Linked DNA regions of Macaca mulatta. The protein of the gene in region 1 interacts with the protein of each later gene in a pairwise test. Links are inferred from orthologs where the notes say so. Each region holds a gene or a part of one and is shown on either strand. Other genes may lie near its edges. The genes, in order: DAPP1 and FXN.

Evidence for each region.
Region 2: the proteins of DAPP1 (region 1) and FXN interact in binary tests that used the Homo sapiens proteins (3 or more experiments, as listed by UniProt). The link is inferred for Macaca mulatta from reciprocal best matches to the Homo sapiens genes DAPP1 and FXN.

Annotation. Positions count from the first base shown.
Region 1 is NC_133410.1:109,152,858-109,163,567, forward strand, and holds part of DAPP1 (dual adapter for phosphotyrosine and 3-phosphotyrosine and 3-phosphoinositide), read left to right. Parts: intron 1-5,885; coding exon 5,886-6,019; intron 6,020-10,710. UniProt on the Homo sapiens protein: May act as a B-cell-associated adapter that regulates B-cell antigen receptor (BCR)-signaling downstream of PI3K.
Region 2 is NC_133420.1:100,092,115-100,102,824, forward strand, and holds part of FXN (frataxin, mitochondrial), read left to right. Parts: intron 1-6,028; coding exon 6,029-6,149; intron 6,150-10,710.

The DNA.
Region 1 (10,710 bases):
CTTTACAATTTTTCCTATAGTGTGCTAACTTTTCTTTTCTTTTTTTTTTTTAAATTTATTTATTATTATTATACTTTAAGTTGTAGGGTACATGTGCATAACGTGCAGGTTTGTTACATATGTATACTTGTGCCATGTTGGTGTGCTGCACCCATCAACTCGTCATTTACATCAGGTATAACTCCCAATGCAATCCCTCCCCCCTCCCCACTCCCCCTTCCCCATGATAGGCCCTGGTGTGTGATGTTCCCCTTCCTGAGTCCAAGTGATCTCATTGTTCAGTTTCCACCTATGAGTGAGAACATGTGGTGTTTGGTTTTCTGTTCTTGTGATAGTTTGCTAAGAATGATGGTTTCCAGCTGCATCCATGTCCCTACAAAGGACACAAACTCATCCTTTTTTATAGCTGCATAGTATTCCATGGTGTATATGTGCCACATTTTCTTAAACCAGTCTGTCACTGATGGACATTTGGGTTGATTCCAAGTCTTTGCTATTGTGAATAGTGCCGCAATAAACATACGTGTGCATGTGTCTTTATAGCAGCATAATTTATAATCCTTTGGGTATATACCCAGTAATGGGATGGCTGGGTCATATGGTACATCTAGTTCTAGATCCTTGAGGAATCGCCATACTAAGCAACTTCAGCAAAGTCTCAGGATACAAAATTAATGTGCAAAAATCACAAGCATTCTTATACACCAGTAACAGACAAACAGAGAGCCAAATCAGGAATGAACTTCCATTCACAATTGCTTCAAAGAGAATAAAATACCTAGGAATCCAACTTACAAGGGATGTAAAGGACCTCTTCAAGGAGAACTACAAACCACTGCTCAGTGAAATCAAAGAGGACACAAACAAATGGAAGAACATACCATGCTCATGGATAGGAAGAATCAATATCGTGAAAATGGCCATACTGCCCAAGGTAATTTATAGATTCAATGCCATCCCCATCAAGCTACCAATGAGTTTCTTCACAGAATTGGAAAAAACTGCTTTAAAGTTCATATGGAACCAAAAAAGAGCCCGCATCTCCAAGACAATCCTAAGTCAAAAGAACAAAGCTGGAGGCATCATGCTACCTGACTTCAAACTATAATACAAGGCTACAGTAACCAAAACAGCATGGTACTGGTACCAAAACAGAGATATAGACCAATGGAACAGAACAGAGTCCTCAGAAATAATACCACACATCTACAGCCATCTGATCTTTGACAAACCTGAGAGAAACAAGAAATGGGGAAATGATTCCCTATTTAATAAATGGTGCTGGGAAAATTGACTAGCCATAAGTAGAAAGCTGAAACTGGATCCTTTCCTTACTCCTTATACGAAAATTAATTCAAGATGGATTAGAGACTTAAATGTTAGACCTAATACCATAAAAATCCTAGAGGAAAACCTAGGTAGTACCATTCAGGACATAGGCATGGGCAAAGACTTCATGTCTAAAACACCAAAAGCAACGGCAGCAAAAGCCAAAATTGACAAATGGGATCTCATTAAACTAAAGAGCTTCTGCACAGCAAAAGAAACTACCATCAGAGTGAACAGGCAACCTACAGAATGGGAGAAAATTTTTGCAATCTACTCATCTGACAAAGGGCTAATATCCAGAACCTACAAAGAACTCAAACAAATTTACAAGAAAAAAACAAACAACCCCATCAAAAAGTGGGCAAAGGATATGAACAGACATTTCTCAAAAGAAGACATTCATACAGCCAACAGACACATGAAAAAATGCTCATCATCACTGGCCATCAGAGAAATGCAAATCAAAACCACAATGAGATACCATCTCACACCAGTTAGAATGGCGATCATTAAAAAGTCAGGAAACAACAGGTGCTGGAGAGGATATGGAGAAATAGGAACACTTTTACACTGTTGGTGGGCTAACTTTTCTTATTGAGTCTCCATTTCTCCCAAATGGTAAGAAAGTTAATCCAGTCCCCACCAGGTTCATCCAGGCAATTGCAATCATTGTCCAGACCTTTCAGGTCCTCCCCACCCCACACCTGCTTCTTCCTGGCTGGCACCCCAGATCAGAGAGGCTGACCGAGCTTCTGGTAGTCAGGGGAGGTGGCTGGTTCTCAGCCAGGATCTGACACTCTGCCTTCCACTGACATGTAGCACGTTTTCTTGGGTTCTTAGGCACTTCTCCATGGATTAGGCAGCGGATGTGAGGACTCCATGAAATTTCCCTCAGCCACCCACCCATTAAGCTCAAACTGTTATTGTGTTACCGTTCTGATGGCACTTCCATATCCCATGGAGAGTCACTCTTCCCTTCATAGTGCAGTCCCTCAAGCTAATCTGGCCTCAGAGGCTCTCTCACTTCTTTTCCACTCTGCACGGTCACTACTTGTCACTAACTCAGTAGCAGCCTTCACACTCTGTCTTTGGGCTCCGGGCCTTGCCTCTATATTCATTTTCTATGCTACATAACAAATTATCAAAAACTTAGGCACTTAAAGTAACACAACTTGATTATCTCCGTTTCTGGCTGGATTCTCTGTCCAGGTCCTGCCAGGCTGGAATAAAGGTGTTGGAGAAGGTTCTGGCTCTGATCTGGCATTCAGTGTCTTCTTCCTTCATTTTCTCCTTTCCTCTTCATTCTTCTTCATCCATTCCCTTCCTGCTGTAGAACTGAGGTCCTCATTTTCCTTTTAGCTGTCAGCCAGAGGGGCATTCTTAACTCTGAGAGGCCACCCACAGTTCTTTGCCACATGGCCCCATGGCTGTTTACCACATCGGTGTTTGCTTTCTTGCATGCCAGCCAGAAAACATCTCCCTGACTTTTTCTTTGATGAGCAGCCAGAGAAAACTCTCTGTTTTACAGGGCTCATGTGATTAGTTTCAGGCCCACTCAGATAATGTCCATATCTTAACATCAACTGACTTAGGACTTTAAGGACCTGCAAAATCCCTTCCCAGTAGCATATAGACTAGCTTTTGATTGAATAATTGGCATAAAGTGTGTACTCCATGGGCTGGGACTTGGGGTCATCTTAAAATGCTGCCTGCCACAGCTCCCATTCCTGGAACAGTGAAAATCTACAGGCCTACTTGAAGTGGGTGTGCGAAACAGGTAGAGGGTGATGGGGTAAGTAGGGGTCACAGAGGAGAAAAAAGCATATTCATTAACATGTCACCCTGTTATATTTTATTTATACATTTTCTGAATAACATAGATGAAAAAATTATTAATCCAAGATGGAATTCTGTTTGAGTGGCAACAAGAATTGTGCTTTCTCTGCTCAACAGCAAATGTCAAAAGTCCATCTAATGGTTAAGTTGTAGATGCTTTATTGCATACACCAGAGGTCCCCAACATTTTTGGCACCTGGGACAATTTTTTCACAGACCGGGGCAGCAGCAGATGGTTTTGGGATGATTCAAGTGCATTACATTTATTGTGTGTTTTATTTCTGTTATTATTACACTGTAATGTATAATGAAATAATTATACAACTCACCGTCATTCAGTATCAGTGGCAGCCCTGAGCTTGTTTTCCTGAAACTAGATTGTCCCATCTGGGGGTGATGGGAGTCAGTAACAGTTCGTCAGGCATTAGATTAACATAGAGGCACACAGCCTAGATCGCTTGCATGTGCAGTTCACAACAGGGTTTGCGCTCCTATGAGAATCTATTGCCTCTACTGATCTGACAGGAGGTGGAGCTCAGTGAGAATGCAAACAATGGGGAGCAACTATAAATACAAATGAAGCTTCACTAGTTCACCCATCACTCATTTTCTTGCTGTGTGGCTGGCAGGGGGATGGATGGGGACCCCTGGCATGAATCTTCCAAAAATGAAAAGTTAATTAACTTTTCACCTATGTATGTCTCATCTGAGCAATTAGACCATAAGCTATTTATAAATCGATGACATATATTTCATATACATAAAGAATAAATTATTGATTTTCCTTACAATCACTAGAGAATGCTTATATTTAAAAAATGACCAGCAAAGGTGACAAAAACCACAGACTAATTCAGGAGAATGACTATTTTTGTTTTATGAACAAATATTCACTTATTTGTTCATTCTTTTACTGATGAATATTTGAAAGCATTGATTCTGCACCAGCCACGTTGGTAAGTGCTGTAGAACAGTGGTCCCCAACCTTTTTGGCACCAGGGACTGGTTTTGTGGGAAATGGGGGTTCAGGATGAAACTGTTCCACCTCAGATCATCAGGCATTAGATTCTCATGAGGAGTGTGCAGCCTAGATCCCTCACATGTGTTCACAATAGGGTTCAGGCTCCTGAGACTCTCATGCCTGATCTGACAGGAGGCAGAGCTCAGGCGGTAATGCTCACTCACTGCTCACCTCCTGCTGTGCGGCCTGGTTCCTAACAGGTACGCGGTCTGCAGTCCCAGGATGGGGGACCCCTGCTGTAGAAGATTCAAATACCTTATTTTGGGGAATTATAGCTTCACAGAGCCAAAAAGACCACATACAAGTAACATACTACAAAGTAGAGGTTGAGAAATAACATACAAGAAAGCAAGATAAGTGTTTAGGTGGTTCAGAAGAGAAAAAGCAATTAACTTTAAGCTGGAATTATCATGTAATACTTGACAGAGGAGGTAGTACTTGAACTGCAACTTAATGAGTGGCTAGGATTTCTACCAGCAGAGACAAAGAGAAACACTGTTTCAGGAAAAAGGAACAGTGTGAACTAAGGGACAGAAGTGGAAACTCCTTGAAGAGCAGTAGGTCCAGTTGGACTAGGGCAGCAGTTCTAAAGGTGTGGTCCGCAGACCAGGTGTGTCACCTGTTCTTAACATGCTAGGAATGCACAGTCTCAGGCCCCACCTTGGATCTACCAAATCTGAATCTGCAGGGGTGGAGGTGGAGGTGGCAGCAAGCTGGGTTCTCACAAGCCCGTCAGATGATTCTGATGCATGCTAACGTTGTAGCATGGGCTGCACTGAGAGGAATAGCAGGAAGTGAGGCTAGAAAGATAGAATGGGGTCAAATAAAGTGGAGAGGCAGATATATATATATATATATTATTTAATACTCTGCTCATTTCAAAAATGAAGTGGAAAATGACAACGTAGGAAATTTGATATTTTATTCAGTAGGCAGTGGAACATGCATGGGAGGAAAAGAGCTGGGCTCACATAACTAATCAAGCGACAGAGCTGAATTCTGATTGACTCCCAGACAAGCAAGGGAGAAAAGCCCAAGATGGAGGAGAGTGTGGTGAGGGTGTCATACGTCATTTCTGTCATTCCTATTCTCTGCCCTTCTTAAACTCATGCCCCATTAGCAGCATAATGTTCAAGGACTCTTTTGGTAAGTCTAGGAGTAGATAGGGAGAACAGTCTCTTGTCTTCCATTAGAGTAAAAAGTTGAGGCAGGGCGTGGTGGCTAACACCTGTAATCTCAGCTCTTTGGGAAGCCGAGGCGGGAGGATCACCTGAGGTCAGGAGTTCAAGACAAGCTGGGCCAACATGGCAAAACCCAGTCTTTACTAAATATGCAAAAATTAGCTGGACATCAAGGCAGACACCTCTAATCCCAGCTACTCAGGAGGCTGAGGCCAGAGAATCACTTGAATCCAGGAGGCGGAGGTTGCAGTGAGCTGAGATCATGCCACTGCACTCCCGCCTGGGCGACAGAGCAAGACTCTGTCTCAAAATAATAAATAAATAAATAAAAGTCGAAAAGAGCACACTCTGCCAAAAGAAACTGGTGATGCTCTTTAAAATTGTCAGTGGTTTCAATGATTGTCTAATTCTCAGCTCTTAGAAAGGGTTAATAGTGATGCTAACATCTAAGATCATATTTCCCTTCAACAAGGTATTTATTTGTTAAATAACATTAATTACTTATTTTTCCCTTTTAGGGCCAAAGATTCTGTTAAACACTTTCACGTTGAATATACTGGATATTCATTTAAATTTGGCTTTAATGAATTCGCATCTTTGAAGGATTTTGTCAAGCATTTTGCAAATCAGCCTTTGATTGGAAGCGAGACAGGTAAGCTATGAGCAGACATTTGACCTATGAAATATTGTTTCGGGATGGAGGAGAAACAAGGCAGATTTCAGTTGAAGAATGTCATGGTTGTCATTTATATTTCAACATTATCTTGAGGAGAAAACAATGTACTTTGTATAAAGTAGATATTTTCTCAGAATGTGTTACTTAATGGATTGATTAAAAGCATTTCTTCTTTTTTTTAATTTATTTATTATTATTATACTTTAAGTTGTAGGGTACATGTGCATAACGTGCAGGTTTGTTACATATGTATACTTGTGCCATGTTGGTGTGCTGCACCCATCAACTCGTCATTTACATCAGGTATAACTCCCAATGCAATCCCTCCCCCCTCCCCACTCCCCCCTCCCCATGATAGGCCCTGGTGTGTGATGTTCCCCTTCCTGAGTCCAAGTGATCTCATTGTTCAGTTCCCACCTATGAGTGAGAACATGCGGTGTTTGGTTTTCTGTTCTTGTGATAGTTTGCTAAGAATGATGGTTTCCAGCTTCATCCATGTCCCTACAAAGGACACAAACTCATCCTTTTTTATGGCTGCATAGTATTCCATGGTGTATATGTGCCACATTTTCTTAATCCAATCTGTCACTGATGGACATTTGGGTTGATTCCAAGTCTTTGCTATCATGAATAGTGCCGCAATAAACATACATGTGCATGTGTCTTTATAGCAGCATAATTTATAATCCTTTGGGTATATACCCAGTAATGGGATGGCTGGGTCATATGGTACATCTAGTTCTAGATCCTTGAGGAATCACCATACTGTTTTCTCAAAAGAAGACATTCATACAGCCAATAGACACATGAAAAAATGCTCATCATCACTGGCCATCAGAGAAATGCAAATCAAAACCACAATGAGATACCATCTCACACCCGTTAGAATGGCGATCATTAAAAAGTCAGGAAACAACAGGTGCTGGAGAGGATGTGGAGAAATAGGAGCACTTTTACACTGTTGGTGGGATTGTAAACTAGTTCAACCATTATGGAAAAGCATTTCTTTAAAATGGGCTGTCCATTTAAAAATAACATACACAATACACACAAAAAGAAGAAAGGTAAAAATGACGTTTTGATTACCCATAATTTCACGTATGGGCAGTTTGCACATGAGTGAGACCCACAGAAGTAAATTTTAAGCATTTTAAAAAGTGAAAATTCCCACTTAAATGTTCACAGGGATCGCTGAATATTGAAAATATTGACTAGGAAGTGCTCTCCTGAGTTATAAAATTCTGTTTCTATTGTCACAGTTTTTTAAATAAGATTTTAAGCTAGACTTAATTATGGCTGGAAAAGTTTGAATTGTCCTGTTTGAATGGTAAGAGAATTAAAGCAGAAAATTCGTGTTTAAAGAATAAACACAAAAAACAGTCTATCTTGGCACTTGAATTATCTAAGATTGAATATCTTGTTTATTTATATTATTTTAAAGAAGTAAATGTCATACCTGTATTTGTGATATAGAATCACAACACTTTTGTCCTAAATAATGATAAATCTCAGTTAATCAAAGACTAGGAAATTCCAAGAACCTGTGGCACAAGAGGAACTGAAGACTTAATAACACAACCGGTTACCATGAGTTTGAACATATGTGTTTTCTTGGCAAACTTGCCAGTGGGCTTTCTGTTAACTTCAGTGTGGTAGGAAGAGGGGGCATCATTGGCTTCTGTCTTTTCTGCTATTTATATGGCATGGATAGTCTCTGATGTGACTCAGACAGTGTCTAGTATACATGAAGTGCACAGTGGAAAACTGGAAAATCGTTGCTCTGCTTTATACTGACCACACCAAGCCTAAGACAGAATAATCCAAACTACAAACTGAAGCTATAACCTTTTTTCCCTTCTTTCTTCTGGTATATATTCTCCCAATCAACCTTGAAAATTACTTCACCATTTAACAAGCAGTTGTTCTCATGAACAAATGGCCAGTGGAGGTATATTTATTTCCATTGCTACCTTGGCCTTGGCAAGCATTTCAGTTTCTCAAATCCCTTCACTTCAGTCTCCTTTCCTACTTGCATCCAATTCTATACTGGATTTTGTTCAGTTATTGGTCACAGGCAATGGAGAGGAGATTTTTAAAGCCAGGGCTTTGTTTTGTGTACCTCTAATTTTTGTCTTTCATATCTGCCAGGTCCTGGCCCATTGCAGGGCATTTTGGGTAAATAAATAAATGAATAAATGGATAACTCTAAGTAAGAACTCTTTGTAGCCTTCGAAGCCACTAGCGTTGCCATTTTTCTGCTTTCTCTTTTTCCTCCAACCAAAGACAGCTCCCTTCTTTTAAACGCTTCTCCTAGGCTCTATTTTCAACTTCTTTGATCATTCCCTGTGCTCCTTCCTGACCCTCTCCAAGTTAGGGAAAAGATACATATTCTGCCTATTGGCAGATTTCAAAACATTTAAGATCAAAGTGAATGCAATGCTTTCTGGTTGAACCTTTCTGGCACTGATTCAATCACTAGGCAAGAGGATCACCTAAGGATGCTCCAAAATAAAGATGTTTTGATATTGCATTTGGGACAATGATAAGCTTCCTTGTAACTAACATGTTCTGAGTAAAGAAGCCTTATGATTAATGCATTAGAGATTGTAAGGATTTGTAATCCAGACTTCTACAGTAATTACTCTAAAACTCAAACTTGCTATATTATTATCTTGACTATAATTATCATTTTATTTATTACAATATAACTCAGGAACCTAATATTTTTATCCTCTCCACTGCCTCTCCTCTGTTCTACTCATTACCCAATGAAGAATTTGCTGCTGTTTGAATTCCTGCTTCCAGCCCCTGGTGCTGATGGATATGCACTTGACTTGCTAGCTTCCTGCCCTTGAGTTAGAGTCCGCTAGCTTTATTCCTCTTATCTGTCCCAGCCAGATGAAGGGAAAGCCATCAGGGCTAGGAACAACAGGCAAAACCCATGACAGATAAGTGTTCAAATCTTGCCCCTCTGGGAGTAATAGGCCTTGGGAAACAAGATAATGTGTTCAAGTCATGATGACTTGTAAGCCCAGAAAGTCCTCGAGGTTACAGAGTCAGCATTGCAGACTATAAAGAATGGTGAATGGAACCTGAGATGCCACCTTCTAAAAATAGGCCTTTTCTTCTTGTTCCTTTAAGCATGGGCTCTTAGTATTGGCTCCCAGTGATCAGCAGATCTTCAGGCTAATGATTTCATGTTCACCATTAGATGAAGTACGAATACTTCTTATAGTTTATGTTTGATTAACATCACCAGGAAAAGCATTTGTCCACACAATGGACAAGCCCCTCCCAGGGCTCTCAACTTCAGATTACCAGAATGAGAAGGACTAGAATTGGATATTTCAGGCCACTCCTGTCAGTCAGACCCCATGCAGGCCCAGCCTCACCCTGCAGGGCCTAGAGGGTAAGTTTATTAAAGAGAGACTTTCTTATAATACATTTATCTACTGGCACAAGTGGCATTACCTCTGAGGGCAACATAAATGATATCCAAATAACCAAAACTTTACACTTTTGCCTTGCAGTTATATATAATGCCTTCAGTAGAGTGAAACCCAGAATATTTGATTCTGGGTCATAAGAAAATCTTTGCACTCAAAATAGATAAAAGTGTTGACCTAAGGGGATTAATGCTATTTTAAGATATCTTTTTTTTCCTGTTCCCTACTCTTTACACTTTTAGGATTTCTGTTTGCTAATCTGAAAAGCAAGGATTTCCTAAGCAACATCTAAGCCTCTTGCCAACTTTAAGAGTATGTTATGATAATTTCCCTTTCCCTTGTCATAATCTCTATTTCATCTCTCTAATCTCCATTAAAGTTTCTGTTCACTCTAATTTATTTTTATCAATACTCATAAACACTCTTAAGATACTTCCAATTGTCAAAACCTAATAATTTCCTGAGTACATGATAGAGATATACAATGTACTCTCTTGCTTTATTTTTCTCAATGGCCCTTTTACCTTCTGACGTATATAATTCACTTATTTTTTTAAAAATACTTTTTTTTCCACACTAGTCTGGAAACTCCATGAAGAAAGGGATTTTTGTCAGCTTTGCTTCCTACTGTGTCCCAGGACCTGAAAAAATAAATACTAATCATTTCCACAATATGTCAGATGCCCCATTTCCAATGCCTGCATTGCAGTTTTTTATGGCAACACCAAAACTAGCAAACTTGTTACAATTTTAACTTTCAAAGTTTATAAAAGCATAATTTGAAATGATGTTTTGTGTTGCATGTATGCTCAGTGATGATTAAATTCAGAATTTGCCTTTCATTTGTGATACTGTTGCAGGACTTTTCCTTAGTTCAGCTAAAGATTGGGTCCCTCTCCATCCCCCAGACACAAAAATTTAGGCTTGCAGATGGTTTGAAGGGTGAGTGAAGCAGGGTTTTATTGGATGAAAAGAAAGAAAAGAGGGCCTAGCCAGGGTCCCTGCTAGAGCGCTGCCTGCCGAACAGTTTGAATTCTATGTTCCTCACAGGAAGAGGAAGGGCCAGGCTCCTCCCCGCTGCAAAGGGCACGGACTTCCTAAGGCTCCACCTCAGTGGGCAGGCAGGTTGGAGTTTTTCTGTCTTAATAGTAGGATATCAAATAAAACATATTCATGTCTGTGCACGAACTCTAAACTAAACTCAAATAGATTTGAAAATTT
Region 2 (10,710 bases), on another chromosome or scaffold:
AGCCTGGCCAACATGGTGAAACCGTGTCTCTACTAAAAATACAAAAAATTAGCTGGACGTGGTAGCGGGCACCTGTAATCCCAGCTACTTGGGAGCCTGAGGCAGGAGAATCGCTTGAACCCGGGAGACAGAGACTGCAGTGAGCCGAGATCATGCCATTGCACTCCAGCCTGGGTAACAAGAGCAAAACTCCATCTCAAAAAAAGAAGAAGAAAAAAAAAGCCTTAGATTCTCCCTTTGACTTTCCACGTTTGTGCAGCCTTTTATTTCCAATGCTCCATTTCATTCCATCTGCTGGCTTACTCTTTTCTTGTCACATCTATTAAAAACAATAAGAAGCCACCCGTATTCAGGAACATTCTAACTGTCCCCAGAGCTATATGCTCAGTAGGCTTACAGTTGGCCCTCCAGGTTTTCTGAGACTCAGATTTCCAGAGAGCTTTGCATGGCTCACAAGGTCTGAAGAGACTCTGAACCTCCCAGCCTGCGGTGTCTGTTCATTGACTTTGCCACAGTCTCAAAGGGGCACAGCATGCTGCATGTTTGAGTTTTTTGCTTTGGTGGCATCCATTTCCAGCCTCGGCTTCCAGCATTCCCCCCTCAACAGACTCTCTGTCGTTTTCTCCTTACTCCTTCTGGCAGTCTGGGAGGTTGCATAGGGCCCTTGCAGGATGCCCCAAGTTCAGCTCCCTCTGGCCTGTGGGAAGCACACCCTTGACCTGCCATGTGTAGGAAGACAGCCCACTTCTGCCAGGGCCCAGCTCTCTGCTGGCAGGTAGCACCTTCCAACCTCTTCACTTTGGACTTTATAACTGTCAGGTATAAAGTCGGTTGTGTCTTTATGTTTCTCAAATTCTTCAACACATGTCAACCAACCTCTCCTACCCATTCTCTCCAGCTCACTCTCAAAACACAACCTATCTGTCCAGCTCACTCACAAAACACACCCTATCTGTCCAGCTCACTCTCAAAACACACCCTTTCTCTCCAGCTCACTCTCAAAACACACCCTATCAGGCCAACCACTCCTTTTAAAGGACATCTCCTCACCAATCCAGTCAGGTAGCCTTCCCCACATTGTATCCTGGAAGTGGGTGATGGACTGGGCGGGGAAGAGGGTCATATGGCAGATCTGTATGTCTTACAGTAATTGTCTAGCAGCCCCTGGTGTCTTACTTTTAGGCCCCTTGGAAACTTTCAGATAGTGGAGTTGTCTGTTACATATCTTATAACCTACAGATATTAATATATCCTCACAGGGGCACAAAAGCTCTTATAAGGATATTTATTATAATAATACTTTTGTTGTTATAATTTACATGCCATAAACTCACCATTTTAAAATGTATAATGCAAGCGTTTTTAGTATATTCACAAGTTTGTGCAGCTATCACCACTATCTAATTCTGGAACATTTTCATTACTCCAGAAGGAAACCCTATTTGTATTAGCAGTCACTCCCCCATTCCGCCTTTCCCTAAAACCCAGCAATCACTAATCTACTTTCTGTCTCTGTGGATTTAAAGTAATTTTAAATTTGAAAAATAGTATCTGTAAAGAAATGTGTCCAGTCACGAGCATACAGCTTGATGAATTTGCAAAAAATTGAACAGTCCCGTGAACATACCCTGTAAGCTCAAGACATAGAATGTTACCAGCCGCTGCAAGCAAGCTGCCTGCTCACTTCTAGCCATTAACCCCTCCCTCTCTTCCTTCTAGTCATTAACCCCTCAGAGTTTAACTATTCTGATTACCAATAGCATAGGTTAGTTCTGCCTGTCTTTCACTAAACTGTCTCATTAAGTATAACCATGTTTGTGTATACTTGTGTATTTCTTTCTATCACAATGATGTTTGTGAGATTCATCCATACGGTTCCTATAGACAATTCTATTTTGCAGTGTAGTATTCCATTGTATGAATATACCATAATTTATTTATCTATGGTATTACAAAGGAGTACTTGGACAGTTTCCAGTTTGGGGCTATAGGATAGTTATGATACAAATATTTTAGTGTAGCACATGTCTTTTGGTGAACCTGGGCACACATGTCTGTTGGGTGTAGCCCCTAGGAGTGGAACTGATGGGTCATAGCATGTAAATGCATTCAACTTTAGTAGATACTGTCCAACAGTTTTCCAAAGTGATTGTCCCACTTACTTGCCTATCAGCAGTATCTGAAAAGTCTAGTTGCTTCTTTTCTTGGCCAGCTCTTTTTTCTTTTCTTTTATTTTACTGTAAAGACAGGGTTTCACTTTGTCACCCAGGATGGAATGCAATGGCGCCATCACAGCTCACCGCAGCCTTGACCTCCCTGGCTTGGGTGATCCCTCCCACCTCAGGCTCCTGAGGAGCCAGAACTACAGGCATGTGCCACACCCAGCTAGTTTTTTTAATTTGTTTGTAGAGATGGGGTCTCTACGTTGTCTCAGACTCCTGGGTTCAAGTGATCCTTCTCCCTTGACCTCCCAAAGTGCTGGTATTACAGGCATGAGCCACTGCACCCAGCCCATGGCCAGCTCTTGATACGATCTGTCTCTTTCTTTTCTTTTTTTTTCTTTAATGTGAGAAGTGTTAAATAATCTTTTTTTGATATTACACATAAACCACACTAAAATGTCTTTCAGTAAGTAAAATGACCCATTTTAGATACAGAAAATTCTAATTGGATTGGCACAGTTAAGGCCAAAAATATAAAGTTGACATTGCTACCTTATCTTCAGCCCTTGCCTTTAAGAGGCAAATGAACACAAAATACAGGTGAATCTTGCTGGGTTCTGAGACAGTGAAGGAATTTCCTCCAGTATTTAAATATATTTACATAACCAGTTACATAAATCTAAATATAAAAAAATCTCCAATAGATTTTAAGATGGCATTCATCATCTTTGTGAAAAGTTGAACATTACTAATGAAATCTGATCATATCTTTAGAAGGAATAAACAATGATAGTATTTACTGAATCAGAGTAACTTGGGTTTTTTTGTGGGTTTTTTTGTTTTGTTTTGTTTTTTGTTTTGAGATAGAGTTTTGCTCTTGTTGCCCAGGCTAGAATGCAGTGGCGCCACCTCGGCTCACTGCAACCTCCGCCCCCTGGATTCAAGCGATTCTCCTGCCTCAGCCTCCCGAGTAGCTGGGATTACAGACTCGCCCCACCATGCCCAGCTAATTTGTATATTTTTAGTAGAGGCGAGGGTTCACCATGTTGGCAAGACTGGTCTCGAACTCCTGACCTCAGGTGATCTACCTGCCTCAGCCTCCCAAAATGCTGGGATTACAGGCATGAACCACCACACCCAACCTTTTTTTTTTTTTTTTTTTCTTTTTTTGAGACGGAGTCTCACTCTGTCACCCAGGCTGGAGTGCAGTGGCGCAATCTCAGCTCACTGCAACCTCCGCCTCCAGGATTTCAGCGATTCTCCTGTCTCAGCCTCCCAAGTAGCTGGAGACTATAGGCGTGCACTACAAGCCCAGCTAATTTTTGTATTTTTAGTAGAGACAGGGTTTCACCATATTGTTCAGGCTGGTCTTGAACTCCTCACCTCAGGTGATCCGCCTGCCTCAGCCTCCCAGAGTGCTGGGATTACAGGCGTGAGCCACCACACCAGGCCCAGAATTACCATTAAAATTCAAAACACCGAACATACTCATTTAACCACAAGCCAGTCTTAGTTAAATCAGGACTGCCCAACAAACATATTCTGTCAGTCATTCATGATCTGAATTCTGGTTTATGAGGTCTGTTAAATGATGGTACACATAAAAGGGTCATAAGACATTTCTGTTTTGTAATAAATAAGACAGTGGATAATTATTATTCATTAGTAGCTTTTTTGAGATAAGCTACCAAGTCTGTCTTTTCTGCCGCCTTCTTAATGCTGGCAAAGATCATTTTTGTTCCAGGGATGTACTTCTTGGGATTCTCCAAATACTCCATCAGTGTGTCCTCTCCCCAGGTGATGCCTTTGTTCTTATTGGCGTCTGTGTAAGGGAATCCAATGGCCTGACCTGTCTTCTGCCCAAAAAGACAGACCATGGAGATTTGGCTCAGTTTTGTGCTTGCCCCCTTTTCCATAGTGTGGCACTGGGCATACTTCTGAACAAAAATCTTTCCCAACATCACCCGCATTAAATTCTCTCTTTCATCACTGGTGCTATGAGGGTTCCCGCCCTTTTACATTTTAACCATTCTGGTGGCATCTCACTGTGATTTTTTAATTTCCATTTTCCTGAAGATTAACAAAGTTGAACACCTTTTTATGTGTTCATTGGGCATTTGGGTATCTTTTATTTATGAAATCTATTCAAGTATTTTGCCCATTTTTATTTCTGTTGATTTTTCTTTTTCTTATTTATTTGTAGGTCTTCTTTTTTTTTTTTTTCTTTGAGACAGGGTTTCACTCACTCTGTCACCCAGGGTAGAGTAGAGGGGGCAGTGGCGCGATCTCAGCTCACTGTAACCTCCGCCTCCTGGGTTCAAGTGATTCTCCTGCCTCAGGCCCCCGAGTAGCTGGGATTACAGGCACCTGCCACTACACCCGGCTAATTTTTGTATTTTTAGTAGAGACGGAGTTTCACCATGTTGGCCAGGCTGATCTCGAACTCCTGACCTCAAGTGATCCACTCACCTCATCCATCCAAAGTGCTGGGATTACAGGCGTGAGCCACTGCGCCCAGCCGGTGTTCTTTATATATTCTGGATGAATCATTTTTCAGATGTATGTAATATGAATATTTTCTCCCACTTTGTGATTTGCCCAACAAAATTTTGGGCAAAAGCAAAATTTTAATAACAAAAGCAATGGAAGCATCCTTCATGTCCAGCTAAAGAGGACTGGATAAATAACATAAAATTAAATATTATAAAAATCCATAGGTGCTAATATAGAACAATTTCTAAGACATAATTAAGTGAAAAAATGCAAATTTCTAAGACACAATTAAGTGAAAAAATGCAAAATGCTTCATTTGTATATTAGAAAGAATATGCAGATAGAAGGATACAGAAAAGACTTTTTTTTTTTTTTTCTGAGACAGCCTCGCTCTGTCACCCAGGCTGGAGTACAGTGGCACGATGTCAGCTCACTACAACTTCTGCCTCCTGGTTTCAAGCAATTCTTGTGCCTCACCATCACGAGTAGCTGGAACTACAAGGTCACGCCACCACACACAGCTAATTTATTATTATTATTATTATACTGTAAGTTCTGTGATACATGTGCAGAATGTGCAGGTTTATTACATAGATAAACGTGTGCCATGGTAGTTTGCTGCACCCATCAACCCGTCGTCTAGGCTTTAAGCCTCTCATGCATTAGATATTTGTCCTAATGTTCTCCCTCCCCTTGCCCCCCACACCCCCGACAGGCCCCAGTGTATGATGTTCCCCTCCCTGTGTCCATGTGTTCTCATTGTTCAACTCCCACTTATGAGTGAGAACATGTGGTGTTTGGTTTTCTGTTCGTGTGTTAGTTTGCTGAGAATGATGATTTCCAGCTTCATCCATGCCCCTGCAAAGGACATGATAATTTTTGTATTTTTAATAGATACAGGGTTTCGCCATATTGACCTGGCTAGTTTCGAACTCTTGACCTCAGGTGAGCCACCCACCTCGGCCTTCCAAAGTGCTGGGATTACAGGCATGAGCCACCTTGCCACCTGGCCCAGAAAGGACTATTATTTGTAGCTGCTTCTGGGAATGGGGGCTGCCTGCTTCTTTCTGTAACCCCTTCCGTGCTGTTTAAATTTTTACTTTGGGCCAGGCATGGTGCCTCACACCTGTAATCCTAACATTTCGAGAGGCCGAGGCACGTGGCTCACTTGATATCAGGAGTTTAGACCAGATACTGCACTCCAGCCTGGGTGACAGAGTGAGACTCCGTCTCGAAAGAAAAAGGACAAAATTTTACTTTGTACATGTTATTTTCATCAGTTTAATGAACTTAAATAACAAGTGTGTAAATTTGGTATTAGTAAAATGGAAGTGTTTGGTAATCGTGTTTTGGGTTTTGTGTTTCCCCTGCAGCTCTCTAGATGACACCACCTATGAAAGACTAGCAGAGGAAACGCTGGACTCTTTAGCAGAGTTTTTTGAAGACCTTGCAGACAAGCCATACACCTTTGAGGACTATGATGTTTCCTTTGGGGTACCTCTTGACTTCTTTTATTTTTCTGTTTCCCCCTCTAAGAATTTTAGTTCACTAAAATGAAGAATTCCCCTGCAGCAGAGCTAAGCATCACGTACATTGGAGTTGTGGGTGGGATTAAAAGACTAGGGCTCCGGGAGGCGGAGGTTGCAGTGAGCCGAAATCACGCCACTACACTCCAGCCTGGGCTGCAGAGCAAGACTCCGTCTCAAATAAATAAATAGATAAGACTAGGCTTCAAGCTGCAGCCCAGCTCTGCCAGGCTTGTTGTGACCCTGGGCAAGTCACTCAGCCTCTCTGAGCCTCATTTTCCGGCTTCAGTGGATACCCATGAAGACAAATCAGAGAGGGGCCAGAATGTGTGTTTGTCCGGCAGGCAGATGGAGCAAACAACAAACTAGACCTACAGTTCTTCAGCAGGGGTAAGAGAACTGCCCAGAAGTTATTCAGATTACAGAGAGTTGAGCCCTGCTCCTGTGAGACAGTGATGGGGTAGGTCGGGTGCATTCCTGAGAAGCATATTTTTGAAAAGCTCACCTGGGATTCTAATGTGTCTCTCTAGGTCTTGTTCCTAGAGATTTTGATTACTTGGACTGGGGTGTGGCATGGCCTGGGCAGGGCACTGGAATTTTTAAGTTCCACAGATAATTCCAGTGTGCAGCTAGTATGAGAACTTGTTTTTTTTTTTTTTTTTTTTTTTGAGGGTGTCTCACTCTGTCGCCCAGACTGGAGTGCAGTAGCGCAATCTCGGGTCACTGTGACCTCCGCCTCCTGGGTTCAGGCAATTCTCCTGCCTCAGCCTCCCAAGTAGCTGGGATTACAGGCATCTGCCACCATGCCCGGCTACTTTTTGTATTTTAGTAAAGATGGGGTTTCACCATGTTGGTTAGGCTGGTCTTGATCTCCTGACCTCAAATGGTGCACCCCCCTCAGCCTTCCAAAGTGTTGGGATTACAGGCATGAGCCACCAGATCAGGCTTGGTGTGAGAACTTCTGAGTTGGATGAAACATTAGCCCCAGATCCTAGAAGCCAGGGAAGTGCTGGTCTTTATCGACTGGCCACCAGGTGGCAGATTTGGGCAAGGGTCTGCCTTTGGAATTAGAATTATTGCTTAGGCCTTAGAGTAGTTCTTTTTTGCCAGAGGCAGAAAATCCCTCGAAGATGGTTTTCTGGGTTGGTTTGTTTGTCTGTTTGTTTGTTTGTTTTTTGAGACGGAGTCTCCGTCTGTTATTCAGGCTGGAGAGCAGTGGCATGACCTCACTGCAACCTCTGCTTCTCGGGTTCAAGCAATTCTCCTGCCTCAACCTCCCGAGTAGCTGGAATTACAGGCACACGCCCCCACACCCAGCTAATTTTTGTATTTTTAGTAGAGACAGTGTTTCACCACATTGGCCAGGCTGGTTTTGAACTCCTGAACTCAAGTAATCCTCCTACCTCAGCCTCCCAAAGTGCTGGGATTACAGGTGTGAGCCACAGCGCCCAGCCCCTCAAAGATGTTAATCCTCTTGATGGCAATTAACTAATACCAGGAAATGTCACAAAGCGTGTATTTTGGATTCAATCATGGAATTGTTGAGGGCAATCAGCCATCAGACTAAAGGGATAGAAATGGTGTTGGAAATTGCAGCGGGAGCACTGGATGGAGAAGGCATTCCGCATGATGGAGCAAGCAACCAAGTCTTCCAGAAGGTATCAAGCCTGACTATAAGGACAGTGAGGGAAGAGCAGAATTAGATGATTGGTTTGGTTGATACCAGTGGTGAAGTCAGTCTTTTTTTTTTTTTTTTCTTTTTCTTTTTGAGACAGAGTCTCGCTCTGTAGCCTAGGCTGGAGTGTAGTGGCGCGATCTTGGCTCACCGCAACCTCCGCCTCCTGGGCTCAAGCGATTCTCTTGTCTCAGCCTCCCAAGCAGCTGGGACTACAGGTGCCTGCCACCACGCCCGGCTAATATTTTTTTATATTTTTAGTATAGACGGGGTTTCGCCCTGTTGTTGTCAGGCTAGTCTTGAACTCCTCACCTCAGGTAATCCACCTGCTTCGGCCTCCCAAAGTGCCGGGATTACAGGCAGCTCCAAAGTGCTGGGATTACAGGCGTGAGCCACCACACATGGCCTCAAGTTAGTCTTTTGAAGGGCTAGTTTCTGTTTAGCCCTTAGGGGGGAAAAGAAACTAATGGCAGTTAGTGAGGGAGGGAGTAGAACAAGGCCTGTTGAAACTCCTTTCCCATCATGGCCAAAACTGAAATTTTTTTAAGGTATCTCTGGGCTCCCCTTGGCCAAGAGATGGTTTGTTGAGTCAGTTGGGAGCTTAGGATTTTATTTTTATTTCTCACATCATTGACTCAATTTGAACCAGGTGACAAAACCTTCTGCTCTCAGTAGTGGGTCACAGAACCTTCCTAATTCCTGCCCTGAGTGTGTCTCTCTGAAGACAATATTAGGCTGGTAGGCTTTCCAGATTCTGTAACCTATTCTTTCAAAGGAAGAGATGCCTATATTTTTCTAGCCAATTCATATGCTTTGAGTATCACTCAAGGGTAAAATTGTTTCTAACAAATCATTTACTAATTAGCAAATGTTTTAAGTGTAGATTTAGAAAGCTAAAGATATATAGTGGCTGCCATCTGTAGTTTGGACTTGTGATTAACTACATTGAAATGCTAACTCTGTACCCTAGAGTGTGAATTACTGATTAGAGTCCTTCACGTGCTAACTAATTTATGTATTTCATGTTTGGTATTAATATTACTTGAGCTTTGTGGGAGGGCAGTCTTTTCCTCCCCTGAGGTATAGCTGGAAGTTACCTCCTTTGTGAAGCTTTCCTAGATACTCTTAAGCAGACATGGTCCTTCCTTTCTCCCTTGCCCAGCACTCTGAGGATGACTCTGTGGAGCACTGATCCCTCTGTGTTATAATTGTCTATTTACATGTCAGCTACCACCTATAATAGACTGAGCTCCTTGACAGCAGGGATGCTGTCCATTCTTTTGTGTCCAGAATTGGTGGGTTCTTGTTCTCACTGACTTCAAGAATGAAGCCGCGGACCCTCGCGGTAAGTGTTACAGTTCTTAAAGATGGTGTGTCCAGAGTTTGTTCCTTCAGATGGTCAGATGTGTCTGGAGCTTCTTCCATTCTGGTGGGTTCGTGGTCTCGCTGTCAGGAGTGAAGCTGCAGACCTTGGTGGTGAGTGTTACAGCTCTTTAAGGCAGTGCGTCTGGAGTTGCTCGTTCTTCCCGGTGGGTTCGTGGTCTCATTGACTTTAGAAATGAAGTTGCAGACCTTCGTGGTGAGTGTTATAGCTCATAAAGGTAGTGTTGACCTAAAGAGTGAAAAGCAGCAAGATTTATTGCAAAGAGCGAAAGAACAAAGTTTCCACAGTGTGGAAAGGGACCCAAGCAAACAAAGCTTCCACTGTGTGGAAAGGGACCCAAGCGGGTTGCTATTGGCTGGCTGGGGAAGCCTGCTTTTATTTCCTTGTCTGACCCCACCCACATCCTGCCAATTGGTCCATTTTACAGAGAGCTGATTGGTCTGTTTTACAGAGAGCTGATTGGTCTGTTTTGACAGAGTGCTGATGGGTGTGTTTATAATCCTTGAGCTAGACACAGAGTACTGATTGGTGTATTTACAAAGCCTGAGCTAGACACAGAGTGCTGATTGGTGCGTTTACAATCCTTGGGCTAGACAGAGTGCTAGACAGAAAAGTTCTCTAAGTCCCCACTAGGTTAGCTAGACACAGAGTTAGCTAGGTACAGAGTACCAATTGGTGTATTTACAAACCTTGAGCTAGACACAGAGTACCGATTGGTGTATTTACAAACTTTGAGCTAGACACAGAGTGCTAATTGGTACACATACAATCCTCCAGCTAGAAATAAAAGTTCTCCAAGTCCCCATCCGGCTCAGGAGCCCAGCTGGCTTCACCTAGTGGATCCTGCACTGGGGCTGCAGGCAGAGCTGCCTGCCAGTCCTGAGCTGCGCCTGCACTCCTCAGCCCTTGGGCTGTGGATGGGACCCAGCACCACAGAGCAGGGGACGAGAGTGGGGGCAGCGCCCCTAGGGGAGGCTTGGGCGGTGCGGGAGTCCACCTTAGGCGGGGGAGTGCAGACATGGCGGGCTGGAGGTCCGGAGCCCTGCTCCGTGGGGAGGCAGCTAAGGCCCTGCGAGAATTTGAGTGCAGCGCTGGCGGGCCAGCACTGCTGGGGGACCCCGCGCAACCTCCGTAGCTGCTGGCCCAGGTGCTAAGCCCCTCACTGCTCTGGGCCAGCGGCTCCGCAGGCCAGGCCGCTCCTTGTGCAGCCCCCCGAGCCTGCGCCCACGCCCACCAGAACTCGCACTGGCCCGTGAGAGCCCAGCACAGCCCCGGTTCCCGCCTGTGCCTCTCCCTCCACACTCCCCACAAGCAGAGGTAAGCGACTCCGACCTCAGCCAGCCCAAAGGGACTCCCACCATACCGTGGCCGGCTGAAGGGCTCCTCAAGCACTGCCAGAGTGGACGCGGAGTCCAAGGAGGCGCTGAGTGAGGGCTGCTAGCACATTGTCACCTCTCACTGTGATCCCAG